3 linked regions of the Elephas maximus indicus genome follow. The protein of the gene in region 3 interacts with the protein of the main gene of each other region in a pairwise test. Links are inferred from orthologs where the notes say so. Each region holds a gene or a part of one and is shown on either strand. Other genes may lie near its edges. The genes, in order: CAGE1, RXRG and MPPED2.

The links.
Region 1: the proteins of MPPED2 (region 3) and CAGE1 interact in binary tests that used the Homo sapiens proteins (3 or more experiments, as listed by UniProt). The two-hybrid records come from large-scale screens. The link is inferred for Elephas maximus indicus from reciprocal best matches to the Homo sapiens genes MPPED2 and CAGE1.
Region 2: the proteins of MPPED2 (region 3) and RXRG interact in binary tests that used the Homo sapiens proteins (3 or more experiments, as listed by UniProt). The two-hybrid records come from large-scale screens. The link is inferred for Elephas maximus indicus from reciprocal best matches to the Homo sapiens genes MPPED2 and RXRG.

Annotation. Positions count from the first base shown.
Region 1 is NC_064819.1:49,665,399-49,673,455, forward strand, and holds the start of CAGE1 (cancer-associated gene 1 protein), read right to left. Parts: upstream 3,013-8,057; 5' UTR 2,567-3,012; intron 292-2,566; 5' UTR 201-291; coding exon 93-200; intron 1-92. Other genes in the region: RIOK1 (serine/threonine-protein kinase RIO1), read left to right, coding at 3,341-3,411, 6,051-6,222, 7,882-7,972.
Region 2 is NC_064821.1:205,835,548-205,842,761, forward strand, and holds the start of RXRG (retinoic acid receptor RXR-gamma), read right to left. Parts: upstream 3,018-7,214; 5' UTR 3,017-3,017; coding exon 2,968-3,016; intron 1-2,967. UniProt on the Homo sapiens protein: Receptor for retinoic acid. Retinoic acid receptors bind as heterodimers to their target response elements in response to their ligands, all-trans or 9-cis retinoic acid, and regulate gene expression in various biological processes.
Region 3 is NC_064825.1:85,685,651-85,693,459, reverse strand, and holds the start of MPPED2 (metallophosphoesterase MPPED2), read left to right. Parts: upstream 1-4,789; 5' UTR 4,790-4,957; intron 4,958-5,004; exon of another isoform or gene 5,005-5,648; intron 5,649-5,733; exon of another isoform or gene 5,734-5,755; intron 5,756-5,769; exon of another isoform or gene 5,770-7,270; intron 7,271-7,292; exon of another isoform or gene 7,293-7,578; intron 7,579-7,809. UniProt on the Homo sapiens protein: Displays low metallophosphoesterase activity (in vitro). May play a role in the development of the nervous system.

The sequences.
Region 1 (8,057 bases), on a different chromosome or scaffold from region 3:
TGTTCCTTATATTGTTGAAAAAATTTTCATATGGAAGATAACATGAATGCTGAATGCATCTGCAGCTCCCAGAATCTACGAACAAAGCACACCTGAGGCAGGTCTGAAGCAGTACTGCTGGTTTCCAAGCAAAAGGGAGAATCTGAATAAGGAAAGTCTTGAGAAAGACTGCTGACATTCATGGCTTCTGCTTCCATCATACTTTCTAATTTTCTTGAGAAGTATCCACTTCAAAATGTACAGGATCTGAAGGTGATAACCAAAATTCTTGACAGTCCTTGTTCCTAAATGCTGAATGATGGAAAGGCCTCTTTAAAAAGGAGTTTTAATGCCTATTAGGATATGCAAACAAAAAGATATTTTTCCCAACCTTCTTCATGTTAAGAAAGCAGCAAAGTTTACAGCCCCAAATTTTAAAATGTCATTTGTCAAGTTAATGGAGAAATTAAAAATTTTAGTCTGAGTATATCATGGTAACTGCACTAGTAAATACTGCTTTGGACAAAAACAAGTTAACTCCCTAAAAAGCTTGGAACCCAGAAGGTGAAGGGATTCCTCAGTTATTTAAACAAAAACTACTTACAGAATATTATCAGAGATCTATTGTTGTTGTTAGGTGCCGTCGAGCCAATTTTCAATTCATAGTGACCCCATGTGATAGAACACAACTGCCCTGTTGAGTCTTCTAGGCTGTAATCTTTATAGGAGCGGATCACCAGGTCTTTCTCCCACAGAGCTGTTGAGCAGGTTCAAACCGCTAAGTGAATGCTTAACCCTTGTGCTACCAGGGCTTCATTAGGATCCACTAAACACTGTTTTTATTTATTTGATACTTTCTATCTCATTATCAAGTCAAATCTAACACTGCAAATCAGTTTTCCCTCCTCCTTTCCTATTCTCTCAGGCACCTGGGCTTGAAAGTTTGGAGATGGCTGTCACTGACATCCCTCTACATCTATCAAATTGACAGGACTTGGTAACTGAATAGTATCATCCCCAGCTATTCAGAACGAACAAATCTGTCTTGGAAGAAGGACAACCAGAATGCTCCTTAGAAGCAAGGATGGTGAGACTGCATCTTACATACTTTGGACATGTTGTCAGGAGGGATCAGTCCCTGGAGAAGGACATCATGCTTGACAAAGTACAGGGTCAGCAGAAAAGAGGAAGACCGACACAGTGGCTGCAACAATGGGCTCAAGCATAACGATTTTAAGGATGGTGCAGGACCAGGCACTGTTTCGTTCTGTTGTGCATAGGGTCGCTATGACTTGGAACTGACTCAATGGCACCTTATAACAACGATGGGTGTTCAGATACGGAGTCCTGTCAAATTCTCCTTTTAAAATTTCCTTGTGACCTCCTCAGGTCTGCCAGAAGGATGCCCAGTCACACCGAGTCCAATTCTTCTGCTTGGCTTTCTAGGCCTTTCATAACCTGGGCCCACGTTACCTACCCAGTACTCACTCTCCTTTTTTAGTTAGTTCAGGCTCATTTCCCTGTACTACATCATGCTTCTTATCATGTCAGTAATCTGCCCTGGCATGTGTCTCTCTCCTCCCAAATCGTTCCCAACTACCCAAGTTCTCATTCATCTATTTCTTTCAATTCCTTCATGTCTTCAATACGTATCTCACAATTCAGCACCTATCTGTTCACTTTTTTCATCCTCACCACCTTTTTGAATGCTGGTATTTACAAATTATAAGCACCTTGAGTCTATTTATGATTTTTCAATACTACCTACAGCAAACCAACCACTGTTGCCCACACAGTAAATACAGATTCAATAAATCCTCCACTCCGATTTATTTCTATTAAGTCCTCTTCATCTGTAGTCACTACTCATTTGCCTGGATTACTCAATTTGTTGAAGGCTGTTTTCAAATCTACGGCATCATTTGGTAAAATGTAAAAGACAACAAGCCAAGCAATCTAGTCAGGACTGATGAAAGGTCCAACTTTATGCCTATCTTCTGGACACATAAAAGCTACTGGGTTGTGGGAAAATGAAAAACCCAAAACCATTGCCATTAAGTTGATGCCGACTCACAGTCACCCTATAGAACAGAGTAGAACTGTCCCACAGAGTTTCTAAGGGGTGCCTGGTGGATCTGAACTGCTCTCCTTTCCCGTTAGCAGCTGTAGCTCTTAACCACTATACCACCAGGGTTGTGGGGAAGGAGCCTGAAAAACCCCTGTTTTATTTTCCAAATGCAAAAGAGGAAAGGATCTTATTTCTCAAAATTTTTTGTTTGTGAACTCAGAACTTCTAATTACACTTTTACAAATTTGTTTACTTCTCACATGGCACTGCACAATCTGTTTTTTTTTTTTTTTAATTAAACTACTTTTTCCATTTCTGATTTCTGTCCTTACCAGCTTTCTTGTTCGATGTAAAAACATTTATCCAAATGTATGGGCAGATATTCCAGACATTCTAACGCTGTTTTAAGACAGGCTTTAAAAGAAGTGTCATAGAGTTACTGGCAAAAATTTCGGATTTTCTAAATTTTTTGCAATCATAGGACTGCATTAACTTCTAAATCACTTATGACATTCTCACCTCAAAACAACGCACTAAACGTTTTAAGTCACAAAGGTGTTCTCACTTCCAGGTTCCATATAGCCTCCTGGATCTACAATAGGGATTTTGAGCTTCCTCCCTCCACACTGCGTGTTGTAGGAGGGAGGACACGTCTCAACCTTTTCCACTGATGGCTTTTAAAAACTTGCAGTTGGGATCCAGGCGTGTTGGAACAAGCCTGCTGTGACGTCCGCCCGAGCCCGACTAATGTCGTCAGGGAGAGGCTTTTGTCAGGCTCCGACGCCTTCGGTCCTGTCCCCGCGAGCGACGCCTCCCGCAGAGTTCTGAGTTAGGTGAGTACGACCCCCAGACCCAACAACCCGTTGCTCACATCTTTCTGCAGGAAGAAACACAAAGTGGGGTGCAGAAACGAGGTGCCTGCACGGGATTAGCTTGGACCAGCTTCTCAGTACGTTCACCTGACTTCCAGCGTTCTCCCACAACCGCTCCGTCGGGAGGCAACTGCTGATAATCAGCCCGGCCCACGGGCGAGACTTCCGGTCGGGCTGGCTTCCTGGAGTCCGTCCTTCCTATGTGGGCGGGGCTTCCGGTTGGGGAGGTTCGGGGTACTCGGGCGGTGGGTCCCGGTTGCTCACAGCACGTGGCGTGCGGCTTTGGCGTAGGGACTTCTGGAAGGCGTGAGAGGCGATAATCCGCGGAGAGGTCGTTGACTCGGCAGCCGGTGATGCGGTTCCTCTTCTAGCCTAGGCCGAGCGGCTTCCGGTGTTGCTGGGCGCTCGCCGCGTTTCCGTCATGGACTACCGGCGGCTGTTGATGAGCCGGGTGGTCCCGGGGCAGTTCGACGATGCGGAGTCCTCTGACAGGTGGACACATTGGCTTTGTTCAGATTTTGCTCTCTCCTCTTTCGCCCCTTGACGGGAGTTGACTTTTTTTCTGTGTGTTAGGGGGAGACTCAAGGCCAGGTATTCCGTCCCTGTTTATGGCGGGTTTAATGAAAGCCACTTGCTAAGTGGGTCTAGGGTTCCCAGGCTGGTAAGCGTCGCTGAGAGGCAGAGTTGAGGATAGAGGATGGCAAACCGGCTTTTGTGCTCTAACTACATTCAGCGTCCAAAAGATACTGATTGAACACCTGCTTTGTACCAGGGCCTGTCCTGGACGCTGAGGATAGTGACGAACAAGAAAATCAAGTCCTCACCGTCGTGGTACTTTACCTCCTACTTGGGGGCAGGGGATGAAATGTGGGGAGAGGCGAGTACATAGAGATTTTACAAAAGCAGATTATGGTGTACCCTGTGTGGATAATTCACATAGGCTGTTACAGTAAATTATGGCTGAATGGTCAAAGGAGGAGTAAGTACGAATCTCAGTGACAAAAAGGAGTTAGCCATGAGAAGAGCAGGGTGCACAGCATTTCAGGCAGAAGAGACAGCAAGTGCAAAGGCCCAGCTATGAGATCCCCCTTATTGTTAAATGATTATCAAGAAGCCAGAGTGGTGAGGAGTCCCTGCGTGGTGCAAAGGTTAATGCACTTGGCTGCTGGCTGAAAGGTTGGAGGTTTGAGTCCACCTAGAGGCACCTCAGAAGAAAGGCCTGGTGATCTACGTTGGAAAAATCAGCCATGGAAAACCCTATTCCTCTGAAACTTACCCTGAGATAACCTTTAATCCAAAAAATTATCCCCTGAAGTCTTAAAACCAAATTATACTCTTTAAGGACTATCTGTATGGGATCAAATTGACAACAGTAACTTGAAAGATTAGATAGGACCCTTAGAGGGCAGTAAGTTTGTGTTAATGTGGGAGGAACAGCTCAGAAAAGGAGGGTGAAAATGATTGCACAACTCAAAGAATGTAATGGATGTCATTGAATTGTACCTGTAGAAACAGATTGGTGTATCTTGCTGAGTATATTCTCATTAGGAACAACAACAACAAAATAAAGTTAAAACAAACACTGTGGGGCAGTTCTGCTCTTTCTCATGGGGTTGCTATCAGTTGGAATCAATGGCACCCAACAACCTAACATTCTTTTTTGTTAACTTATATAGTGACTGAAAAGAGACCAATTCAAAGATGATAAAGTAATCTGGTTCAAAGATGATGTTAGCTAGGGCCACAGGGATATGTTTTGGAGGTAGAGGTGACAGGGTTTGGCAGTAGATTGAATATGAGGTACTTAAAAACAAAATGAAACATTTTATGGAGTTATTTTGGAATTAAAAAAATGATTTTTGCTTCATTTATTCATAAAAATTCGTTATGTGTAGATTTTATTAATCCACTGGGAACCTTTTTTCAGTAAATATATGTCAAATGCTTTTTATGTATCTTATCTAAGTGTTGTCATATCTAGTGTTGTTAGTTGCCATTGAGTTGATTCTGACTCATGGTGACCCCATGTGTTACAGAGTAAAACTGCTTCATAGGGTTTTCTTGTCTGTAATGTTAATGGAAGCAGATCACCAGGCCTTTTCTTCCGTAGTACTGCCGAGTGAGTTTGAACTGCCAATTTTTAGGTTCACAGTGGCGCACAGGGATAAATTGGTAAACAAGACTATCCTGGTCAACACAGAACTTAATGCAGCAGGGAAGCATATTAAAATTAGACAAATTAGTTTGCTAGAATCGTGTGAGTACTACAAAGGAGAAATGGGTGAAGACTAGGGAAGACTTCCCAGAGCAAGTAAGCCAACACTGGAAGATTGAGTACGGTTTAGCCAGGAAAATGGAAGGGGCATTCCAGATTTAGTTTACAGTCATGGACAGAAGTCCTTAGGGAAGAAGGGAAATGGGCAGAAGCAGCACAGCCAGTGTGGCTGGTGAGTAGTTGATGGTAATCAGAGTTCACTGGTTTACCATTCATACTGAATGTCGTGAGGGTAAACCCGTGGCCCTCTACCAGGATGATTTGCCCTGAGGGGACTTTTAGCAATCTGGAGGTATTTTTGGTTGTCACAACTGGCTACTGGTGTCTGGCAGGGAGAGGCCAGGGATGCTGCTAAACACCCTAAAATGCACAAGATAACCTGCCACAAAGAATTATCTGGCCAAGGTTGAGAAGCTCTGGTACAAATGAAGCTATCAGTTTAATATGTCATTCTAGGTTATTGGCAATTTATTCCTAAATTTTATCAGAAAGACCCTCCCCCGCCCCACCTTAAAACAGCTCTGTGAATGATTTTCCTAGAGTTGAGTTCTAGTGTACAAAATCAGTCAATATACTTATCAGAGAAAATAAAAATATAAATTCTAACTTCACTGAAGCAGAAGTGGATTTAACACTTGATGTACTCCTTCCCTAGTAGGACTTGGGTGTGGAGAATAAGCAGACAACTGTAACAGAACTATAAAAAAACAGGAGAGTTTGGTATAAAGGAGGTGGGGCTTATTGGGAGACAATGTTGTAAGGAGACCTTGTAAATATCAGTATTGTATCATAAATAATTGTGTATGTGAGTTCAGTTATAGCATGTGTAAACATGCCAAAACATTGTTATTTCTAGTGAAAAAGAGGAAGATGGTGTTCCACTTGAAGACCTTCAAAATAAGGGTGAAGATGAGATAGAAGAGGAGGAGGAGGAGGAGGATTATGACGACGATGATGACTGGGACTGGAACGATAGAGTTGGGAAACTCACAAAGTGTTATGCGTCCAATAGAGGGAATAACCCACAGGTATTTTATAAACGGTCCTACACATCTTTAGCTTGTCTTATGTCTTTTTTTAAAAAGATTTTCTTCGAGGTCTTCTCATTCATTGATGTGGCTCTCAAGTGAGTAGCTGATTTTCCACAGATTGTATTGTCCTTTTTATTTTTTGTCCTTTCTGTATTTCTGATAGTTTCCTGATTGTGGATTCTTTACATAATTAATTTAAAAAGTTATTTAATGTATAATAAAATGAAGAGTTTAAAAATGTGTAGGAAAAGACACAGATAGGCAGTTTACTAAAAGTGGTTGAGAAACATGAAAAAATTTGAACCTCATTAGTTATTAAAGAACTGCAGATTGAATGTGTAGAGAAACCTTTGTTTTCCTATCTGTGAAACTGACAGTGACACAAAATATGTCAATTGATGATCAAGTAAATAAGTACAGTGTGATAAAAGGTTATAAACCCTTTGACTCAGCAGTTCTTCTATGGGGCAAACGGGTTAAATTTACTCTGAGACTGATCATTCATGCAGTGGGATATTACAGTTCTAAGACACGTTGCCATTGAAGACTTAATGACATGGACATATGTTCATGATCTGTCATCATCTACCATGCACAGAAGCCTCGTAACCAAACCATCTAGAGCCTGCTTCTCAAGCCAGAAGGACTAAGTGTGTCAGGGGTTTCAGAGCCAGAGGGTTGTTAGGGTGCATCTTCCTGGAGCATAAAGGTTACTCAAAGATATGGAGGGAAAAACACCAATATTTCCTTGATCTTAAAACAGCTTTATCAGGGACTAGAATGCATGAATTTTAAAAATAAAGTTCCAACTTGTGGTCTTGTTTTGGTAATCCCTCTGTTGATTTCTGATGAGACTGAGTAATTTCATAATAGAGTATAATCCCTTTAAAAAAAAAAAGCTAGAAAAATGACTAGAAGTATATATGTTTGTTAACTATTTGTGCGCTACAATTATAGACATTAAAAAAAATTTTTTTTGCTTGTGTTTTCTACCATGAACATATTTTAATTTTAGAATTATGTTAATAGTTAAATTTAATACAGATTTTTTTTTTTTTAAGTTCTGTACGAAAAAGAAAACTCAATCAGCCTCAAGAGTTCCATGCTGAGATAACAGGATTGAATCAATAGTTGTTTTAGGCCGTTTTTACTTAGGGGTTCTGATGTTGTCTCCACTTTCTTCTGTTTCTGCTGTTATTTTGGTTCATGTATAGCACCAGTGTAAGTGCTGAAGCCTTGCTCTTCCTCTTTCCTTTTCCCATGCTAGTCCACAGTAAAATTCTTAGAGCCAGTTTAATGTTGGTCTTAACTCTATTATATACTGGGGGGTGGGGGAAGTGTGGGTGAGGGGGGTGTAAATGAGTGTTCTTTGTTTTAAATCTATAAACGAGTCGAATCAGAAAAATGCATTTAATTTTAACTTGTTATTTATAATAATGAGGAGCACACTGTGGATAAGGAAAAAACCCCAGATTATGCACACTCTTTGTTCTAGCCAGTAACTTCAAACTATTTCAAATGCCTTTTTAAAAAAACCTTAAGCAACTTAGACTGACTCTTACCTTTCCTAGGGTACTCCAAAGTATTGATGCTTTAATAGCTAAATGTGGTTTTTATTTACAGCTGTTGCTTAGACTCTGTAACGATTTCTTTTAGGCAAATCGACAGACTTCTAACTACAGTTCTGCCAAAATGTCTACTCCAGCAGACAAGGTCTTACGAAAATTTGAGAATAAAATTAATCTGGGTGAGTTTATAAAATATGTTACCTTACAGGGCTATGAAAAAAATGTCATTATGTTAAGAAATGAACATATTTAAATGTTGCTGAC
Region 2 (7,214 bases), on a different chromosome or scaffold from region 3:
GTATTATTTCCAAAGGGTGACGCTGGTTCCTCTGGAGATCGTCACGCAAATCACAGGGGTCCTCGGTGGTTCCATTTGCTAAGATAATTATGGGTAGGGGTTCTACACCAAATCATTTAATAAGGGCAGCATAATTCGCTGCGCTGGGGCAAAGGCAAGTCAAAGCTGCAGGTGACCTGTACACCAATCCTCAGATTTCACCGTGCCTGCAGGTGGGCCCCCCTACTCCCACCCTCCCTCATCACTGCAAGTCTCTGGTCCTGGACAGACAGGGTTCCCTGCAGATGGAGGAGGAGTCTTCTGGCTGTGTTTCAGCCTTCTCTTAACTGGCACTTACAAACAAAATGGAAAACATCAACAGAACGAAACAAAAATAATCGTTTTCTTCCCTCAGGAACGACAAGGAAAAGTAACATTCCAGAGAGACATCTAAACAACCTAGATGGCCCTTTCCCCTCTGTCCCCAATGTTACATGGACTTTGTTCTTCCCTGGCTGCACAGTTATGTTTCCTTCTATCTGAAACCTAATTACACTAAATACACGGCTCCTACAATTATGGGAATTTAAGCCAGAGAGAACGGGTTTAATTTTATTTTCCCAGATTCCTAGTTCATTTTTCAACAATAATGTCTGATTTTTAATTAGTTTGCGTGTTAGTATCTGAGCAAAATGGAAGGATGAAAGTATTAACTTTTATGAAATACTAAGTACAGTAGATAGACCATACCAGAGTAGCTGCTTTTTCACAGGCTAGTCATTTAATTCTCAATTATTATCTAAAAATGAGATTATACACCCCATTTTAGAGATTAAAAACTGAGGCTTGGCCCACAGAGGTTCAGTATCTTGCCTAAGGTCATGCAGTTGGCTCAACTCAGCCAAACTCAGCTCACTTGTTCCATCTCTGTCTGTCTTCTCTGTTTCCCCCTCTCTCTCTTATGCTCACCATATCAGATTACAGCAATACTATCACAGATCTGAGTCAGGGGCTTCTCCAGGAAGGCTCGACCACTCAAGGTCACGTATCTTTGGACTAGTCCCTGCCTTCCATTAGGCTTCAGTTTTACACATATATAAAACAAGAGTTCTAAGAAGCTCCTTCAGGCCCCTTAGGGTGCTAACATTCCGAAATTTCAGCAGCAGTCCCGGTAGAATTTTAAGCCTCTTTCTCTAGTCTATATCTTAGCTCTCTTCGTACATCTTCCACCGTCAACCTTGTCTCAAAGGGCCTCCTTGGCATTAACAAAGCCATATCCTTCAAGAGCTCAGGGGTCCCGAGAATCTGGCCAAGGATAAGCACGTTCTTCAGTCAACTGAACTCGGAAGGAAAAGTGATTCTCAAATCTATGAATGGGGCAGAGATGGGAGCTGAGAAGGATTTTCACACCCAGGTCCCAATTATGAACCAATGTCCAGGTCACACTACTGGCCACCACTCTCCCTCGGCCACATCACCAGACTGGGCCAAATAACTTAAACATTACCTCTTCAGGAACCTTCCCGTGGGGCCCCTCCCCTGTGTCCAGGTAGCTCCCTCCTCACACCTTCCAGGTAGCATGCACTACAAAAACCCAGTACCATTGAGTCAATTCCGACTCCGACTCATAGCGACTCTCTCTCTCTATATATGTTTTATATATATAGCATGCACCTTACAGTATTAAAATGTATTTAACCAACCTCCCCTGGCCAAGAGCAGGGACTGTGTCTCATTCATATTGTATTTCTAGCACTTAGCACTACACTTGGCTCACAAAAACTACCCAATGAATGACCAAACCACCTGGCCAGACACCTCCAGGCAGGGGGCCTCGTCCACCTTGCAATATTCTGCCGTGCCCCACCAAGTGTTCTGCCCAGCAAAGCAGGCAGCCTTCACACCCAAGCCTTCAGATGAATTGGCTATCTGTCCGCTGAGAAGGTCAGAGGAGCAGAGACTTTGCAGTTCTCAAGACCTTACGGGAATTTCTGTCTTGTCCTGTCTGCCAACATCCACAGGGCAAAAGCTGCCCTTTGGCTCCAAGAATACAAGCTACATGCCACCAACTGACAAGTGAGAGGCCAGTTGGTCAGCTGTTTGTCCATTTACTCAAAGCTGGATGCCTGCTTGCACTGTTCCTATCACTGAATGGAGGGATCCTTCTGGCTGATCTGCCTGGGCGTGAAGGCAGTCTGAGGACCCAGTCTCTGGAACCGGAAGCCTCTCTGAAGGATGACTGGACTGCCTTGCCTGGCTTGACGACTTGCATCATCCGTTTATCAGCTCTCTGTTATAAGACCCCAGACTCCTGTCCATCCAGATCCCAACCCCAGAATGGAAATGATAGCAGGAGCCCTTGCTTTGGAATTGGGGTCAACAGCAGAGTTGGGGAAAAGAGGCTATTAGCAAATCAAAAGGAAGAAAACAGAGGAAAGAAAACCCTCCTGGCAAATTAAAGTGCTATGTTTTCTTTTTACAAATCCAATTATATGGAAAGCTGCTTTTAAATTAAAAAAAAAACTCTTGTTACGAAGTATCCCAGAGACCCTTCATATAGATAAAACCTTTCTGATCACATTTTTTTCCATTACAAGTTGAATAATAGGCAAAGCATGGTAATTTCTCTTTAACTCCTCCACTTTTCATGCCCACACCAACACACTGGGTTATAACAATGTTCTTAGTCTATCTTTGTCTCAGACATTCTCAGTATGTTGGCTAAGGCACTGTCCTTAGATATTCCTTTTTCTGTTCACTCGCCTTTGCAGAAAAGCACAACCTCACCTACAGAACCCACTTTCCTGCCCCAGCCCTCTCTCCCTCTCTCTCTCTCTGTGCATAGACACAGACTCTCACACAGAGAAGCACTATATATGCAAATAAACGTATATTCTCCCCTTTTAATTCAACACTAATCCAGTTACCCAATTTCCTCTCCGTCTTTCCAGACCGGTCCACACAGTGAAGTCCGAGTGAGATACTTACCACCAAAGCCGGTGGGAAACTTCATGAAGTGAGAATAATTTCCATACATGTTTACTCTTCAGTTCATATTTCTCTCTTGTCTGTCTTCTAAATATCACAGCTTCTCCCCGCTCCCAGGCAAAGCTGGACTCTCTTCAACTTGGGCTAACAAGAGTGGTCATCGCTTCCTAGCAGCCCCAGGAACAGAGGCTGGGCCAGCCCTCTGGGATTAGTCAGGAATCTGCCTCTAGATCTGAGAGTCCACATAGTGCGTTCGAGACGGCTGTGGCAGCAGCAGCTGGTGCCTGTCAGTAATCACGCATAATGCTGCTGCCGCCACCGCCACCGCCGCCGCTGGAGATCCTGTTGCTAGTTAGATTAACTCAGGGCTGGGCTGGATGCGTGCAACTCTTCCAGCTCCTGGCTGGTCCCCGGAGGTCCCTACCAGTGGCACAATCTATTATCTAGGAAGCCAATCGATGTATGACCGCCCCGGAGTGGGTCAGGAGGGGCGGGGGGAGGTAGCAGGGGATGGAAGAGTCTTTAGGTGACTTTTCCTTGACTCGCACCCACAAAAATCAATGGGGGTTTATTAAAATGCATTTTCTCACTCGGGCGTCTATCTGTCCAATGCACTTGGTATTTGATCTGTTGAAAGGGGGTGGGGGTGGGGACCAAGAGAGAACAAAGCCCTTTCATAAGCAGGAGATTACAGAAGTGTGAGACCAATCCTCAGCTACCGAAAACCAAAATAGAATGGCCCTCACATTTGGGATGGGCCTCTCCTGCCTGCCTTAGTGGCTGGAAGAGTTTGTCTGTGTCCTAACAATGAAGCCCAAACAAGTGTGGTGGGAGCCCGAACTCACCCATATGGGACACTTAAAGGTAGGGAGGAGGTGTTGGCTCCATGTGGTGGTCATTCTGTGATGTTTCCCTGGAGGGACACATCTGCCTTATACACCATTGTCATTGTGCCACCTCTTTAAAAGGCACCGCTGGCTTGTCACTGACCCGGAGACTCTTGGATGGAACCAACCCACAGATGAAATAGCCTAAGCGCCCCTTGATGTTTATGTCTGTGAAGCCACTACTCAGCATATGCTTGAACACTTCTAGTAGGGGGACCCCACTACTACCCCATTCCATCTCCAAACAGCTGTTACCATGCACCTATTTTTTTATTGAGCTGAAATCTGCCCTTTTTCCCTAAAGTTTCTGCCCACTGGTCTAAACTGAGAAGCCCATGGAGTCTTTCATAGTGCGATCTCCCGGGTCATTGCAGCTTCAATCATTCCATGTATCACAGAAGATCCAAGTCTATTCACAACCTATCCTTTTCCTATGAATGTACTTCAATTTACTAAATACCTTCATGGTGGGGTGGGGGGATGGCAGGCCTGGATGTAATACTCCAGACACGGTACAAGTCTTCTCCTCACGGTATATGTGTCAGCAGGGCCATGAGGGTGCTCTTAGCACACTCTCCAAGGGTCAATGTCAGGGACTCAGCTCTGTGGGGCTGAAGCAGACTGAGAGGTTTTCTTCTGATGCCGTATGGTACACAGAGAACCCGAGAGACAAGTCAAATTGGGGCCCCATAGGAAAAAGTCAAGATTCAATACTAGGAAACCCCAGGCAAAAACTAAGAAGCAGAAGCAAGGTCAGGCTGGAAGAGGAGGAGGGGACCAATGTGGGGGCCAGAGCAAGAGCAGGCCAGGAGTAGGAAGAAAGGCCCAGGCCATTGCTGTGAAGGACCTTGGAGCACCCAGGCTCCCTTGGCTGGTTGCTGAGTTCTCAGAGTGTCAAGGTAGAGAGGACCACTCACTGGTATTAGTTTTGGGGCAGTCCCACATGTTAATTCATGTGGAACTAACTTGACAAACCCCCCTCCATTTGTGTTCCTTATTATACATATTCCTCAGCCCATTCTTGGCCAAATGCTCTGGGGGCTGATATGCAATGTCTTCTTATATTCCTCTGAAATGAAAACTTTAATTCATTCATCATCCCAGATCTTTGGGGATCTTACTTGTGTCATCCAGTGTATTTCTTTTGCTTCCCCCCATTTCATGACTTCTGCAAATCTGATGAACTGTAGTCCATAGCTTATCCAAGTCACTGATAAAAATGTTGAAAAGGGCATAGCAAGATATCTTATAGCATGCACGCTAGAAACTCTATTCATTAGCACCTTTGGCACTTTGCTCTGCCACTGACTAGTTACCTGGCCTGGAGGGGCTACATCTGTAGGGAAAGCACCCACACAGGAGTCAGCCCCACTGGGTGCAAATTCCAGTCCCATATTGCTTAGAGCCTTGTGATATTGGCAAGTTACTGCATCTCCCTGGGCCTCAGTGAACTTACAGGATTATTGTGAGGATTAAATGTGTCAACACATGTTAATCACTTAGAAATATGCCAAATATACAGTAAATGTTTGATATGTGTAAGTTATTTCGATGATGACGTAAACTTAAGCAAGTCACTACTTCTTATTTCCTTTTTCTCATTTGCAAAATGATAGAGCAGAGCTAGATGAGTTCTAACATCTTCTTTAACTTCAAAATTTAATGCAAACTAGTTCACCATCCATTCTATAACTGTCCATTTTCTCCCTGAGGTATATGAAGCAAATGCCTTGCCGATGTACCAACTACATTTTTCTCTAAGTCTGGTACACCTATCACAGAACGAAAGGAGTTATCTCAACACAACTGGCTTCTTGGTGAACCCATGCTGGCAAGGGTTCTTCCAAGTATTCAAAGACTACCCTTTAAAAAAACCCGTTCTAGGATTTTGTCCTAGGTCAATGATGATATGTTTGTTGGTGGTTTGTGGCAGATTCTCCTTTCTTCCCTTTTTGCTAAGTTAGGTACATTGTCTACTTCTTTATCTCCAGACAGAATAAAATGCAGATTACTAAACCTGGCATGAAAAGGCCTCACCATCATGTCTCCACCCACCTTTGAGCTCATGTAGAGGAAAGCACTCTGGGGCAGCAATCATAGACCCAGGCTACATACAGCTCTGCTACTCTCCAGTTGTGCGACCTTGGGCAAGCTCGTTTAACCTCTGGGGAAAATACCCAGGCTGCCTCCCCCACTGAGATGTCTCTTCGTGTGAGTGTGTGTGTGTGTGTGTGTATGTGTGTGTGAATCATAAGTGATACAAGTTGGATATGTGTTTTTTGCACACTAAAATTCTATACAAATACAAGAAATTAATGTTTTCTTCTTTTCTTGCTTCCTTTGATTGCCCCCTCTGGCCTGGCTGTTTCATTCACTGTGAGACCATGGAATGCTCACTCCAACCTCTGGTTCATTGTGCACGCCTGTTTACCTTCTCCTACCTGTCAAATTCTTACCTATCACTCAAGTCCCAGCTCAGTTGCCACCATGACCACAAAGATCTCACCCTAGCCTCAGTCTGACACAACTCATTGCCCAGTGTGTTCAGATGACACCTGCAACATATGACCTGAGGCATCCCCAGTGCAGTGGGACTGAACTGTTATATACCTTTCCTTTGAGTTTTGAGTATATCTTGTCTTCATAACACGATTGCTAACTCTTCAAAGGTAGTGTTTGTATATTACATGTCTTTATTTTCCCACATAAAGGCTAGAACACACAGTAGGTGCTTAATAAATATTTTTACATTAAAAAATGATTGATAAGCTTATAATATACAAGACACCTCAGGCTGCTTTCCCTGTGATACCGTCCCGTGTGGTTTAACATCCCAGTCACAAAACAAAAACTTTGCCTAAAATTCAAGAGAAATGAATGTGACTTTTCTCTTCCATCCAAGTTTTTTTTTTTTTTTTTTGCTTGGCACCACTGTGTCTTGTCTAAGACCATTATTGATATAACAACATTATCCAAACCATCTGGTATTTCTAACCTAAGCCCTTCACAGACAATCGCGCTGGCTTCAGCCACTCTAGTGTCTCCACCTGTTACCGAATTCTCACTTGGATGTCAAATGAAAAAACCAAATGCTCAATGTCCATAGTTGGAATCAGCTAATTCATTTATAAGGATTCTTGGCTCACTTCTCGTCAAGGCTGATTATCTTTTCCTCTTAAATGACACGTTCTGCTTTTATTAAAGCCGTTAGTGCTCCTGAGTAAATAAAAAGGGGATGAATTTTCACGGGTAGTTTTGACAGACCCAGCCAATAGCTTATATTTACCCTGGTGATCAAACTAAGTGGCTTTACCTCTGGTCTTAAATTTTTTTAAATTTTGACCAATAACCACAATAAGT
Region 3 (7,809 bases):
AAAAAGTGCATATGTTTGCCAAAAATAGCTGTGGACCATTGAATGCTGATAAAATTTTAGGGTCTGCTTGTTCCAATGAAGTTATATTAATGACGTTTTCTAACAGCGTTGTGTTTATTTGATGCTGCAGTTCTTTGTGAGAAGATGCAATTCCAAAAGGGGAGTGTAGAATAGAAAGGAGTTGACTTGGAAATACAGGCAAGCTGGAATGTGAATGGAATGTGAGTAAGAAAGGAAGTCTGTTGTCCAGTATGGCTCTCAGCCTCTCTGGCTAGGTACAACCAAGCCTTCAGCCTACATTTCAAGATTCTGGTCTTCTTTATTTTTATTATGTAAAATTTATTCAAATCATTTGAATCCATTCATGTCTCTCCATGTTTTGACTTCTCCGAAGTGTACCATCAGGAAGGCTACCATCATCACCACCCTGGTGCAACAACTGTGCATTCACTCTAGTTCCCTAAAATCCATTCTTCACGCTGGGAAGGATTGACCTTTTCAAAACACAAATCTAATCATGTTACCCTTTCTACTTAAGATCCTTAAACAGCTTCCCTTTGCCCTCAGGATAAAGTGAAACATCTTGAACAGGGCCTTAGCTGTGACCTTCAAATGTCTTTAACGTGGCCCTACGGTCTGGCTTCTACCTACAGACCCAGACCCATGCCTCTCACACCAGGCATTTCCTCACCCTCAGCATTCCGGCCACACTGGCTTCCTTTATCTGATGACATCCTTGTCTTTGTTTCCTCCATTTTCTTTGCACTGGTTGCCCCTTGTTTTCACAGATTATAATGTTTCCTTTGTGCCAGTTGCCTCTTCTTTTCATAGATACAATTTTCATTTTTTTGTTTTATTTATCTGTGAGTCTCTCCCCATCCCTGTTAGATTATAACCTCCGAATGGTGAGAACGAAATACCTGCTTTTTGCATCATTAGACCATCGGCATGGTGTAAGGCACAGTGCCCGGCACAGAGCAGAGCTTAAAACATTTGTCGAATAATCGAATCTTTATACTAATACTGTGAGAAACGAGTTTTAGATTCTGGTGGCCTCTCAATTTCAATTTTTAAAAATTGTATTCATTCATTTATTTTTCCTTAGAAGGAAAATCACATTATATATCGTTTACTCGAAATATTGATATATCTTATGCTAGCTTGTCAAATTGAATTATTAAACTGGAAAACCCCCACATACATTTTCTTTAATCAGGTTATTATGGGTTTTTTACACTGCCCATTATTCAATTGCAATTACTTTGGCTTTTATTTCAGTGAGAATGCCTTTTCCCCCATGACAAGCCTATCCAAAAAAAAAAAAAAAAAAAAAATCCAAGGACCAGTAAATTTTACTATTTCTCCAAAATTAGGAGCACAAGGTGGGGGAAGACTCGGCAAGCATTAATTGATAACAGAGACTGCGCAAGTCTGTTAGGATGGGAATCAAAACTAAAAACACTAACTTATGCTAGCCATCTTGCTCAGACTTTTAAAATTAATTATTGTGAGAATAACAGTTGCCTGATTTAGTGATACATGCTAGACTTTGGCTACCAAGTATGGTAAAAATTAGTGAGTGTTCTACAAAATTTTAAGATTTCCATCCCCTCCTTGCTTATTATCTAAGCTGCCTGCAAAGCCGGATTAAATCTAACATTTCTAAGATAACGCCTTTAAAATTTATTTCATGAAATAAAATTCCATTAGTTCTAGTGCAAAGGTCCTGAATCATTCTTAGTCATGAACATTTTTTATTGGTTAGCAGGAGGAAATTGTAAATACAATGATCAAAAAATATTATTTATATATTTATATTGAGGGCTTACAAAAGGATCTATCAAAGAATCGGGTTAATCACTTTAGTTTCTTTTGAGTAGTTATCGTGACACATTATTCCTGTAAGTGTTAAGGTACAAATTTTACTCAGAATTCTTTCTTTTATTTTTGGTGGGCGGGGGGGGGGGGGCGGAATCCTACCGTATTTAAAAAGAAGACTTCTTTTAAATGTGCATGATAGACACCAATCCTGTTTCCCTAAGGGAAAATTAATTTCTGAAACTTAGTCTTATGTATTATTTTATATTTCTAAAGACATTAGCAAACCCTTTAAAACTTACTATTTTAGCGACATGGAAGTCCTTAGCTCTTCTCCTCCAACCCTGGCCTCATGACATCACTTCCTTCCTTGCATACCTGGTGTGAACTTCCCTTTACTATCTATTTGTCTCATTCACTCATGCATTCTCTCATTTATTAACCATCCCTACTATGTGCAAGGGATGTAAGGATGAGAGACACAAAGGAATGGAGGACATGGTTCTTGAACTTGAGGGGGTTACAGTGAAAACATTTTAAACAAGTCAAGAATGTAAAAACTGTAGGAATTCAGAATAAAGGAAAGGTGTTTGTTCAATCAGGCTTTTTCTAACTGCATTACAATACTAGTAGTTCTATTCAGAGGCTCTGATTTCTGATAATATACTTTTAACCTTTGCTGTAAAATGATAAAAGATGCAACTTAAAAAAAAAAGTGGTAAAAATAGTCACTGTTCCTAGAATTAGATTGGTATAATTTCAATGAAGTTTTCAACAAAATACAATAATTTCTATAAATTTTTTTAAAGAAGAAACACAGGACCGAGCTAAGTTTTACACTGCAAACGTGTCCTTGAAGCTTCTGGAAACCCTGCTCTCATAGGGAAGACGAAAGCCAACTCCAAATAAAGTATTGAGTTTGCAAGGGAAGTTAGCATTCACTTATTCAAGCTTCCACCCAAAGTTCTCCCACAATCCTTTCTCTGTTTCTTCCCTAAATGTACTTTTTTTTTTTTAGAAGGTACTACAGTGGGCTATCAGGAATCAAATTTCCCAGTTCCTTCCATGAAATTACTGGAGAAAGCGTTCAGTTTTACAGTCCGTTAAAGGAAAACAATTTGTAATATTTGCGTAGAGACTGTGATAAACTTGGTATTTGCTTTTTGTGCAATAAAAGTTGAATTTAACAATGACAGCGACAAAAAAATAATGGAACTCAGAGGCTCATTTACCTTAAAATAATATAAAACAAGCCTTAGCTATGGCATTTAAAATTTGGTATAATGAAGCTACGTTTCAAAGTTGATGTCAGGGGACAGACATGGTTAACATCCAATCATTTTAAAACAAGCTTTTAGGGTAAAACCCAACCAACCCAGTGCTGTATTTATGGAGGACGTGATTTAACAAAATGTAATCTGTTCAAACCCAAGTAATGAGAATTATTTGAAAAGTGAGCTTTTGTCCCTGCTTTATTATTTAAATTTACTTACATTTCTCCAGCTTCTTTGTTTTAGTAGCCTAATAGAAATAAAAATTCATAACCCAAATACAGGTCAGCCACTACTTCCCCCAGTGGATAATTGCTCCATCAGCAGGGACAGAGTGGGGGTTGATTTCTTCCTTCACCGCAAGTTACAATTTTAAGCCTCTTTGTCCCAATTTTCCCCCACTCAGTAAAATGGCTTGAAATTTTGTATCGAGTTTATAAAGGGTCACTCCTTTGATTTTTAAAGCGTTAAATATCCTGTAAAATGTGCCCCTCAAGTACAAAGTATTATTATTTGTTGTCTGCATGGACGTACTCGGACTCAGGATCATAATACAATCTAATTTAGCTGGTTCGATTGACTACCAGTTGGTTTAAAAAAAAAAAGGAAAAAAATAAACACGAAAATTATTTGATCATGATTTTTTGACTGACCAAATCAGCCCAGATCAGTCTAAAAATGAAAGCCATTTAGATAAGAGAAGTGTACTGCTAACTCATAAAGAGAAACAAAACCAAGCATTTTTTCAAAAACATGGTTCCAGTTAGGGCTTGTTGCTGGGCTGGAAAACAAAAGAAAACAAAATATAATGATGTCTCCCTCAATAATCTTTGGCATCCTTTAATGTTGCTTGCTGTGATTTGTGCTGGGCCAGGAAAGTCACTGGCCTCTCAGTCCCAGTATATTTGACAAGTACTGACACTTTGGGCTTGCTGTACAATAAAATAAATACATTAATAAAGCCATTTCCCCCTTCATTTCATCCCATGCATAAGAGACAGGTTACTTAAAATTCAAGTGCTAGGAAAGCCCATTATAAAAGGGAAATAATTTCAGGTGAATTCCGTTTGATCTTTTTTTTTTATAGGGGTTCCTACCAACCTCACTCCTGTCCTCCCCAGACCCTGGCAACCAATTAGTCTCAACACAGAGGCCACAGGCCAGGTTGAAATGTCTCCTTTTTTAGGGGGCTTCCCTCCAGAGAGTGCCTAGATCTTTGAGTTTGACTCCTGGAAAGGAATCAGATCTGGTTGCCGTCCAAACCCTTCAGCACTGACAATGGCATAACATCACAGGGCCACCTCATCTTCCACAGAAAGCCCTGCAGTCCAAGTTTTCTAAAAGCCTTCTCTTCCTTGTCGCCTAGCATTTCAGCAGTTCTTCCCTTCCGTGTTGTTTGCATGCAATTCTGAAAATCTTTTCTTCTATTTTGCAAAGTAGCAGGGAAAAGTGGACAAACTTTGATTTAAAAGATTTTTTTGAAATGCTTATCTTTTGGGGGAAAATCCGTCCAAAGGACAAAAAATGAAGACGGTTAGAGTGTCCCTCTCCTCACCTGGCAATCCCGAACCATGGAGGTGAAAAAAATTATCAGCTAGATTGGCCTTTTCTTTCTTAGGAACAACATTGCAGAGAGAAAGAGGGGTGGGTGTGTGTGTGTGTGTGTGTGTGTGCGCGCGTCTGACGCGCTGAAAGGCTTGGGGAAAGGAAGCGCAGCTCTCCCCCAGGAAAGCCTCAGGTCAGCAGATGGAAGGAGGCCTGGGGTCGCCGTCCGTGGTCGAAAGGCAGTGCCCGAGCCATTCCCCATTACCCCGGCGGCTAGCTCTGCGCTCTGGAGCAGTGCCAGGACTCCTGACAGCGCCCGGCAGGTCGGTGGGTGGGGGGCTTGGGCGTTCTCTTTGCAGAAGACGCCCATTTGGAGGGAAAACTCCCTTTATTTTCCTGGAGTTCCGTAGTCTCCCATCCCCATCATTTTTAGGCTGATCATACTCATGATGATGAACTTGCAGCTCAGCTTCCTGCCGCCTGCTTGACCCGGAGCACCAGCAGGCTGCTTGCCTCGCCCTCAGCTTCCTCCTCCAGTCTCAACTCCAGGGCCTCGGGGCGCCTGTAGGGGTTCAAGCGGGCCGGAGTTGCAGAAGGGGCTCGCGGGGGCGCGGGGTCCCGCTGGGGAGCGCGCACGGAGCGGCGCCTCGGCCGCCCTGCTTCCTGAAGCTGTGCTCCTTTGACCCCAGGGGCAGTCCCTGTCACTGCACCGCTCGCGCTCCCTCCAGCTCGCCGCGCCCTCGCTCCCTCTCCTCGCCCCCTCGCTCGCTCTCTCCCCAGATCGAGGCTGCTCCAGTCCTTTCTCCCCCGCCTCCCTCTAGCGCCGCTGCCCCCCGCCCCCCTGCCCCCGTCCGCGGCAGGACCTCGGGGGTCGAAGGTTCTGGCCCGCCCGCGCCCTTGCCGCCCCCGCGCGCCCTACGCGCGCCTCCCGCCTGCTCGGGTCGCTCGGCGATGGATCGCCTGCTCGCTGGGCGCTGAAGGCATCCCCGGGACCCGGAGCGCAGCCCGGGAAAGGTAATCCGCCCCGGGAAGGGAGGCGGGGGAGGGGGAGGAGGCGGCCCAGCGCCCGGTGCAGAGCGCGAGAGGAAGGGAAAAAAATGCACACACAAAGCGGAGCCCGGGTGAGAGGTGCCTTGTCAGAGGCGCGTGCGAGGGGCTCGGCGGCTACGGACCGCGGCTGCCCCATGCCCCTGACATTCGCCCTGGAGGGCGCCCCCCAGACAATTCGGCCGCGCGCCGGGACCCGGGGAGGGTTGATTTCCAACCCCCGAGCGAAAGAGAATTATTTTTTGGAAGCTGTCTTCCTTCCTACTCCCCATCTTGCCCCTCTTCTTTCTCCCCTCCCCCCAGACCTCGGCCCCCGACCTCTCGGGGTCCCACCTCACCGCCTCCTCTTCCGTCAGGATTTCCGAGGAGGGGAGGAGGGGGTGTCGGCGGGAGGCAGCAGCGAAAGCCGGGCGGCGGGGATGGCGGTGGGGACGAGGGCTCGACGAGCTGTTTACTACAAAGTCTCGGGGTGATGTGTTCAAGCCGCCCCGGCCTAGGCCCGGGTGCATTGTGTTGGCCCGAGCCCCGGGCGCCCGCGGCAGCCCGCTGCGAGGTGCGGTGGCCGGGAAGGCGCCGTGCAGCTTTGTGCTCCGGCTGCGCCCCGCGGCTGTCCCCGGGGCCGCCTGCGCGCGCGCCGCCGGGGCGCGGGGCTTTTTCTCACCGTGTCCCCCGCCCCAACCTCGCGCTCCGCCGCCGCCTCCGGTTTCCACGAACGCAGCCTGCGGAGAGAGCCGGCGACGCGGGTTGAGGCTCGGCTGGGCGGCGGAGACGAGGAGCGAGAAAAAGTAACCGTTGACGCCCGATTTCTTCTATACCGAGGCAGGAGTTTCTTTGCCATTTACATGTAACAGGGTTATCTTCTCAAAGCCTTTGAATTCTGGGGTTTTGCGGCCTAGGAGGTTGAAGGGGGACATTTTTCTGGAGATCAAGGAGGTGGGGGTTGAAATCCATCTGCAAGACAAGAAATTAAGATGCCCTAGTGGGGTCAATTTATAACTCACCCGCCCCCACTTTTCCCCAACACACACCCCATATTAAGTGCAAACAGGGTCATGAAAAATGTGTAATTGATTTGAGATGCAGAGAACCAATAAACACTAACAGGTCAGGGCGGAAAAAACAAACAAAACTTTAAGTGAAAGAAAAGATTTCCAAAGGGGGGGGTCAAAAATCCGTGGCCTCCACTCCCCCTTCCAAGGCTCGCTGGCTCCCTTTCTTCCTTTCTCCGCGGCCCGGGGAAAGGAGCCCGGCAGCTCCGGGGCAGAGAACAGGCAGGAGGCGGCAGCGGCTCTGTGCTCCGGTGCGGCTCTGGGGGCTCGGGGACGCCGGCTCTGGGGGCTCGGGGATGCCAACGCGCCCGGAGGCTGAAGTCTGGGCAGTGGCGTTGTGATGCCCCAGCAAGGATGGGGCGGTGTCAGAGCCATTGGCCGCCGGTGGTCATCAATCAATCCTGGGCTTGGGTAGAGGGAGAGAAAGAAAGACAGGCGCCCAGCGGAGCCCGGGGCAGCGAGCGCAAGAGCCAGCAGTGCCAGCAGCGGCTGCAGCGGAGGCGACGGCGGCAACGGGGGACTAAACAAGGGACTAAACGAGTAAGGCGAGCTGGTGCTCCAGGAAGGAAGGGGGAGCTATGGCCCGGGCGAGCCGACCGTGAGCCCAGAGGGCAGGGCGTGTGTGTGTGTGTGTGTGTGTGTAGTCACTGAAGCTCCCCTTATCCCCTTCAACTGCCCAGCCTAGATTTAAAACAAACAAACCAATCCAAAGTAGAGAATTCCGCGCCCCCCCGCCCCACCATATATAGACACCACACGTTGCCAGAGGCGCGGGAGAAAAGTCTTGCCCTTCCTCTTTGAAAGAATGTGCCAGCTGGGTGTCCGCAGTGCTGGAGACAAGTTCAGGTGTAAGTGCGGCGCTAGGCAGGGCGCTCTGTGGCAGAGACACGTGGAACTTTGTGTGAGCATCCTTGGAAAAGCCTGACGGAGAGAAGCCGGGAAGGCGTGTGGGCATCGCTCTGGAATGTAGGGATGAGTAACTGGAGGTGGGCAAGGAAAAAAAAAAAAAAAAAACTGAGCAGGGGGCGTGAGTTGGGGAAGCACTCCGTCTGTGCGGCAGAAGGAGAAGAGTGAAGAAT